Linked DNA regions of Tribolium castaneum. The main gene of each other region encodes a partner of the protein of the gene in region 2 in a complex. Links are inferred from orthologs where the notes say so. Each region holds a gene or a part of one and is shown on either strand. Other genes may lie near its edges. The genes, in order: hh and disp.

The links.
Region 1: the proteins of disp (region 2) and hh are in contact, whole or in part, in a cryo-EM structure (PDB 6TD6), measured with the Drosophila melanogaster proteins. The link is inferred for Tribolium castaneum from reciprocal best matches to the Drosophila melanogaster genes disp and hh. Residues at the interface, in NP_524734.2 of Drosophila melanogaster: His77, His78, Arg250, Tyr253, Glu296, Ala404, Gln405, Ser406, Asn407, Arg408, Gly434, Asn755; in NP_001034065.1 of Drosophila melanogaster: Tyr100, Pro101, Val103, Leu104, Lys105, Gln106, Thr107, Asn110, Leu111, Ser117, Glu164, Lys165, Val168, Ala228, Gly229.

The regions. Positions count from the first base shown.
Region 1 is NC_087397.1:305,693-309,516, reverse strand, and holds part of hh (hedgehog), read left to right. Parts: intron 1-362; exon of another isoform or gene 363-554; intron 555-621; 5' UTR 622-777; coding exon 778-1,074; intron 1,075-3,824.
Region 2 is NC_087403.1:5,666,808-5,671,170, forward strand, and holds the start of disp (protein dispatched), read right to left. Parts: upstream 2,815-4,363; 5' UTR 2,395-2,814; intron 2,337-2,394; 5' UTR 2,225-2,336; coding exon 2,081-2,224; intron 2,033-2,080; coding exon 1,639-2,032; intron 1-1,638. Other genes in the region: WRNexo (3'-5' exonuclease), read right to left, coding at 3,158-3,223, 3,276-3,377, 3,423-3,564, 3,613-3,834, 3,884-4,005, 4,055-4,114. UniProt on the Drosophila melanogaster protein: Segment polarity protein which functions in hedgehog (Hh) signaling.

The DNA.
Region 1 (3,824 bases), on a different chromosome or scaffold from region 2:
CCGAAAATTTTGAGAAAAAAACCCATCTATTTGAACCCAACCCATCTAAAACCCATCCCATATGGTAGATTTTGATCTGTTCTTTATAATTCTTTAGTTAATTTTCGGTACCCGGAACTTTTATCGAGTAATAACTCCGGAACTGTTAAGAGTAAATCCTAGTTATTATCGTTGGAAAGCTCTTTTAATAATCTTTCTAAGAAAAGATCATTCTTCTTCGTCCAATAGTTTTCGAGACAAAATGATAAAAATAGAGCAATAGGACGTATTTTTTTGATAAATCTTGAAACAACAAAGAGTATTGTTTTAGTGAAAATTTTGGATGAAAAAAACGTTGGTAAGCAATCGATAAGTAGGCTATTAGTCATCGTATTTGTGTCGCTAAAATTCGTAGTAGCCGCAGCAGCAGTGATAATGCCTGTTTGTATTCAAGCGCCAAACGGTGTATGTGTGTTATCTCCCGTGATAAATCCATCCATCTAATCGGGCCGGCGTCAAGTAATCGTCCTGGCAGCAGTGGCGTGCACCAGTCATTGAAATCTCCAGCTGGTGATGTTAGTTAGTTAGTTAGCAGTTGAGTTGGTGGCAGGCCAGAAATATAGTATGATTTGCGAGGTGCAGGTTCATCTGCCTCGGAGTTGGGCTCCGCCCGCTGGCCAATAGCCGCTGAGGCCGTCCGAAGATGGCCAGGGCCTTCAAGTGAGTGGGGCCAGTCAGTCGGTGTTTCACCTATGACAAGTGCAAGATGAGGAGTGCTGATGGTGCGTGCGTTCGGAGATGAGGTCTGCTTCGGCAGCGGCGCTCCTGCTAGCGGCCCTCCTGGTGGTGCAGGCGGTGCGGGCTTGCGGCCCGGGGCGCGGAGTCGGCCGGAGACGAGGGCCAAGGAAGCTCACACCGCTCGTCTTCAAACAGCATGTGCCCAATGTGCCGGAGAATACGCTCACGGCGAGCGGACTCACTGAAGGACGCATCGGAAGGAATGACTCCAGGTTCAAGGATCTGGTGCCCAATTATAACCAGGACATCGTCTTCAAGGATGAGGAGGGCACGGGGGCGGACAGGCTCATGACACAGGTACGAGAGAAAAAAGGGAACAAAAAACTTGAAAAAACACTTTTTCGATTTATTCTTTTCACAAAAACTCAAAATTTTGAGTCTGAAATAAAGCCAAAAATTACGACAAAAGTTGAGCAAAAAAGTTGAGCTCAACTTCAAATGTTAAATAATAAATGCTAATATGAGTTACTACATCTCGAAAATTAAAGCTGATAGAAAAAATCTGTTGGGAGTTTTGAACAGCACAAAATCAGACGCAACAAATATAAATAAATAAAAATAGTTATTCCAATGGAAAAAGTGACCAATTTTTGGCTAATTTTTGGAATTCAAATTTGCCAAAAAAATTTTTTTTTGGTAATGGATGTGGCCGGTTACATTGAAATTAAATATGTAAAAAACAGGAAAAGTTGAAAAATTAAATGCTAGTAAAAATTACCATTTTGGCTAATTTTTTGAACATTCTTTTCACCAAAACTCGAGATTTTGCACAGGAAAATTTAAAAATGGTGTCAAATGTCGAAAAATGTGTTCGTTGACCTGTGTCCTAAATAAGCTCAAAAAAGCAACTAAAAAGTTAAAAGCAAAAATATTAAACTCAATTTCAAATGATATGTTATGTAAAGGTAAATGATCGAAGAACAATGATAATAATTCGAAAATTGAGTCATTTTTCGCTGATTTTTGAGATTCAAGTATATTAAGTTTAAATAAAAAAAAAAAAACTCAATTTTATATTATTTCCACTTTTATTTATTCCTTAAATAGCTTATAGGATAATTCAGATGATTTTGTGTTAAAAAAATGAAACTTCGAAATTAAATTGGTAAATTAGATCGAAAAACATTAGAAAAAGGAACAACTGTAATTATTTTTTAAAAGATTGAGGTAAAAAGTGTTCAAAAACCATAATTTTGGCTAATTTTTGGAACATTAAATAAATTTTTTCGACTGATTTTTTTCACTAAAAGTTTCTATTATTGAAATAATTGTACAAGATTTAGAGGATGATCCAAAAACAATGTCAAAAGTCAAAAAATGTGTTTACTGATCTGTTACCTAAATTGCCCCGAAAATATCAAAAACAAAAAAAAAGTCGACTGATGTAAGATTAAAAATATTCGTCTCAACTTGAAAGGTTATGTTATGTAATGTTAAATGATCGAAGAACGATTTAACAGAAAAAGTGACCAACTTTTAGCTAATTTTATTTTTTTAATTCAATTGTTCCTTAATTCTTTTTAAGTTCTAAAATTGTATAAATTATTTCGACTGATTCTTTTCACTAAAAGTCGGACATTTGAGCTTTCATTTCTCAAAAATTGTATTTCTACAGAAGAGTCCAAAATGACATTAAAATTCGAAGTCTCAAGTTTATTCAGAAAATGAACATTTTTTTGCTCATTTTAATTTTGTTATAATTCAAAAATGATTTTGTCTCAAAAGTGTTCTGTGAAATTAAATTGGTAATCTAGGTCGAAAAACATTTAAAGAAACAGAAAAAGGTGAAATATCTAATTTTTGCTAATTTTTGGGTAAAAAATTTCGAGTTTAAAACGTGAAAAATAAAAAATATTTAAAAAATGTGTGATTTTCGAGGTTAAAACTTGTTGATTTGTTGTAAAAATCGGAAATTGATTCGGTCAACTAATTAGGTATTTATAGACGTGCTAATTGCATTAGATGCATGTGCAATGTCATTGTTGAAGTGCATTTTGCGTGAGTAAGGTCAGAAATAGAAAACTAGTAAAATAATTCGAAAAATCAAGCATGTGTTACGTGTTTGTACAGCGTGAGAAATATTCATATAAACATTAAACTGTTTGTTTGAAGAACAGTGTAAACCTGTCTCTGTCTCCAGACAAAAGATAATGGTATTTACACTTCGATATATTGAGATGAAAGAACCAAGGTTTATGAATTACGGCTCAAAAATTACAACAACGCGAGGAATTCGATGAAAATTTAATAAAATTATTAGTCAGCAGTTTTCTAGCCAAAATACCAGAATCGATAATGCGCTTATCAGCAGACGTGACTTAAGTCTGATTCAGAAAAGCGCTATTGTGTTTCTTGGGAAACAGAAAATGCGCTCGCTTTGGTTCAACTTTTCCTGGGATATGCCATAAACTCTTGTTTGTCTAATTAATTTTATTGCACGTTAAATACGTATAATAAAATTGTGAACCGCACCTTGTTAGGACGCTTTGTTTGCCCACTAATTAAAATCCATTCAAAAGTTGACTGAAATCGAGAGCATCAAGAGGAAAGAAGCCTTAAAAAGTGCGTGAGAACGAGCTTTCGAGACAATTTTCAGGTCACAAATTAGGTCAAGGAGTTTCGCTTTTCCAGCTTTATCAGATAGCAACCAACGCTCTTATCATCAAGTTCATTCATAAATAAATTTCGGTTTTAATGAGTCAATACCAACATAAAACCTGATACTTATTAGCCTATAAACTCTTACTTGAATTTTTCATCATACACAAATGACCGTTATTCTCTATTTGCTCTCGCTTAATCCACTAAATTCTATTTATTCAAAGATATAAACAGGTAAAAGACACACACTGTCGTAATACCCGGAGATGCACACGATTTTCACCGCCTGAAATAATCATAGACAAGAGGTTTTTTCCGTTTTGATTAAATTCCTCATTTATCGCACAAGTGGAGGAATTTCACTCATCAGATTAAAATCTGTAGCAAAGTAGCTAATGACTTTTTTTTTGGTGATAACTTTGTATTCTTTTAGAGTTATTTATGCT
Region 2 (4,363 bases):
TGTGTTTCAATTTTTTTAATGTCTTGCTACAAACAGTAGCCAACGCAGAAGCCATGAAGGTAGGTGCTTTTTTTATTTATCTTGTGAGGTGTTGAATTTAATAATTTGAGTGCCATATATTATATTTTGCGTTCTTTATTTTATTTAATGTTTATAACAGTCGTTTGTTGTAACTTTCATGCAAATAAAGATTTTTTTAATGGTGTTTTAATTTTTTTAATGTCTTGCTACAAACAGTAGCCAACGCAGAAGCCATGAAGGTAGGTGCTTTTTTTCTATTCTTCTTGTGAGGTATTGAATTTAATAGTTTGAATGCCATATATTATTACATATTTTGTATTCTTTATTTTATTTATTGTTCATAACAGTCGTTTGTTGTAATTTTCATGCAAATAAAGATTTTTTAATGGTGTTGTTTTTAGTTTTTTTGATGTCTTGATACAAACAGTAGCCAACGCAGAAGCCATGAAGGTAGGTGCTTTTTTTCTATTTATTTTGTGAGGTGTTGAATTTAATAGTTTGAGTGCCATATATTACAATGTATTTTGTATTCTTTATTTTATTTAATGTTTATAACAGTCGTTGTTGTAACTTTCATGCAAATAAAGATTTTTTAATGATGTTGTTGTTATTTTTTTAATGTTTTGCTACAAACAGTAGCCAACGTAGAAGCCATGAAGGTAGGTGCTTTTTTATTTATCTTGTGAGGTGTTGAATTTAATAACTCGATCGCCATATATTATAATGCAGCATATCCGTTTGTATTATTTATTTATTTAATGTTTTTATCTAGAGGCAACATCGAATTGCAAAGAAAACATTTTGATTTATTATTTATTTTCAATTTCAAACTTTTCGTTAAATAATTCGTGTTTGAACAGTTCCTCTTTACCCATCAATCCCAGTATATAGTTCAACCTTAATTGCATATTTTATGTACAGTTTAAGTCATAGTAAACAATTTAGTGTCTTCATTTGGAATTTATTAGAAGATGTCCCTATACCTCTATTGCAAATAAATCAATGTCCATTTATGTTTAAAAAAATCATTTAAAACATAAAAATATTTCGTGTTATTTTAAACGCATATAATTTTGCAATATCCTTTTATTGTGATAAGCAAGTGACTTTTTGCTAACGTTGGTAATGTTCGCACGCTTGTAATCAACTAATCAATTTACCTTCGTTTTTGCACCTGTCATTTTGCAGTTCTGTCAAATTTGTGTTCAAAACTTGTGTGAGATTTCTCTAATAATCGTTTTTAGTTTGTGTATGTGTAAGTGTAAAGGATTTGATTCGAAAGGACGACGAAGACCTTAAAAAGGTAAAAGTGCATATTCTAATTTATTAAAGACAACTTAAACCTAGACGAGTTTTTAAGTTGTTTTCCATTATAAAAAGCCACCACGCACCGAAGTTTAATATTTAATTGTCCATTTTTTGTTATTTGAGTCAGTGGTGCTAAACTAATATCCAAATTTCAAGTCACAGGCCACTTTGATCCGCAACGATTTTCAAAAAATAATTGTTTTCAATAATAAAGGGTCGTCGGCCTGATAAGACCTTTCCCTACTTAAGTATTTGACTTGATAGCAAATGGTTTCGTAATGTGATTGTTAGATAAACAATTTGGCTTACCAGGATAACCACAAAAAAAACCGTCGATTTCGACCGGTTTGACGGCGACGTTTTCAGCAGCTTTTGGGTGCAACATGTTTTGTAGAGCCCTCCAGTTATTATTTTCGTAGCTATTGTCAGAGCGATTATTACTTGCTTCATTTATAAATACCTGAAATGGTGGTTTAGAAGGGGGCGACTTGAGCGGCAAAGTTACATTAGAAAAATCGTTTTTTTGTTTGTTTTTCTTCTTTTTTCCATTTTTCTTAACTTTAGGTTTAAAAAATGTTACATTTCGTTTTATCAAAATATCTTTGGGGTTAATAGCAAATTGTCCTGATGGTCGAGTTGATTCATCTAAGTTCTTCCAAGCAGTTAGTCTGTTTGATATAGCTGTTCCTCTGGTAGTGAAGCCCTAAAAGCGGCGAATGGGCCTGAAGGTACCAAACTTGGCTGGACTTACCATTTTGGGGTCCGAAAAGTCTTTGAAGGGCTTGGTTTTCAGTGTAAAAGGTATCACCAGGCATGTACCAGAGAACACAGCAACTGCCGATATAATGATGTAGGGGTGATGGACGATAATATGTGCGAACCAATTCAAATTCATTTTTAACGCTTACTCCATTTACCATTTGAGATTGCTTCTAGTCCCTCGTCGAAAAATTGCTTGTAATATCAAAACCGCGCGCTGAATTGTGCGAAAACCGGTCATTTTAGGGCTGAAACGAGGTTTCGTAAAGCGCGTGCAAATGATCGAGTGACGAATAAAACAATTACCCTATTTGATGGAGCCAAAGCCACCCTGGATCGCTCGTCCGGGCAGCCGGGTGCGGTAACGGGTAAACTAACCACCAAAACGCGACCGCTTCGTGGAACCCCACCAGACAATTGCCGCAGCCAGCACCGAAAAACCCAGCCTGGAGTCACATTCCTCCGACGAACAAGGCGACGGCTGTGCGAATAAAACGCGAAAAATCCACTTTAATCGCACGAGTTCCGAGAAAATCGCCGGTGAAGCACCGAGCGGAGCCCGCCGATTGCGCCCGAACCGGGCGGCTCCCAGCGCGGTATCAAGGCCAGGCGAGATGGAAGTCAGCTGTTTATAAACAAATACAATACTTCAAGGACACAGCCACTCTCATACCAACAAGTCAAGGTTACTATCAGTGCATTCCCGGGACACGGACGGGATATCACTGGGACTGCGGGCGGGATCGCCGGTGTCTTAACACCGGGTTTCCTTATTGATTTTGAATTTCGAGAACGGCTCTTGATAAATTGTACGCGGAAACCGCAGGCAAAAAATTATCGATTGGCTTCATTATTCTATATTTGCATTTTATAAGCCGAAGGGCTCTTATTACATTAGGGCGAACGTGACTTATTAACTTCCCGGGCTCAAGGACTTTGTTTACCTCGCTTTTATTAACTCATAACGAAATAATCCCGCTTATTAAGCCTGAATACATTATTCAGGCAAGCGACAAAAAGAAAATTCTCTCAAAATTAAATTATTTATTCGACTAGCAACTAGATACAATTAAACGCTATCATTTTCCTCCTGTGCTTCCCTCTTCTTGAGCTCGTTGTATAACACTAGAGACGCCTGCAAATGACTAAATAAAAAACAAAACTTATTTTTAGAGTGCAACAGTTACATAAGCGTCTGTGGCTGCATAATCCAGCTGTTCCTTGCTTAACGGGCTCACATGCCACTTACTCATCCTCACTTTATTATCTTTAGAAATCGTCATTTTTAACTAAAACGAGAGCAGTAAAAACAGCCAAAATTTTTAACAAAATACCAAAAATGTAACTAGTCTTTCCATACTCCATCGTTGCTGGAAAGGTAATATTTGGTTTGCCAAAACGCCGCTATCAATACAATTCTCAATGTTTTTCTCAACGTCAAATCCGGCAAAATCCCGTGAAAGCTTCCTAATATCGCTAAAATAATGCGCGTGTTAATTTGAGAAATTCCCGTCCCAAAAATACTTTTTAATGTTGACTCCTGTGATTCTAACTTTGGGATGAGCCAACAGCACTGACAACCCCTTGGGGAGTTTTTTGAGGTCGCTTATTTGAATTAAATAGCACGTGTCCAGGTCGGGGCTTATCTGAATTAGGGCCGCTTTTCCAGGGCCGGTCTGGAACGAAAACGGCCATTCGACGTCAAAGCCAAGCACTAGGACATCAGCAGCCTCGTCGGCTAATTTACTAAAAAAGTGGTTAAAGGTGCCGCAAATAAATTTTCGGACAGAAGTACATCAAATTGTCGCAGGCGAGGGCACATTCGATAAAATCCCTGATGTAGATTTTTTTGCCTTTAAACTGAATTGGAGGCCTGTTCCGAAACTCCTCTTCCTCCTTTTGTTTTTTCAGTTTTTCCTAACAAAAGTGTGATAAATGAGGGGCTATTTTTGGTTTTACCACGTACTGCTTCCCTTTCTTCCTGCGGAACGGAAGATCTAAGCCGCATACGACCGTTTTCACTCATTTTTTTTAATTTTTGTGTGAAAAACAAGATTCAAACAAGTGTAAACAAAAAAGCCGGTACACCATCTTGGGATTTCTGAGGCGGGGTGTTGGTGCGCTTTCTTATACTTGAATCTTGCGTTTGGCGCAATATTTGAACAAGCTTCAAAATGGAGATTATTTTTTTATTTTTATTTACGTGCAGTTTTAATCATAATTTTACAAATAAGTAAAAAGTTATTATCTTTTACTCATGTTTCAAATATCAACT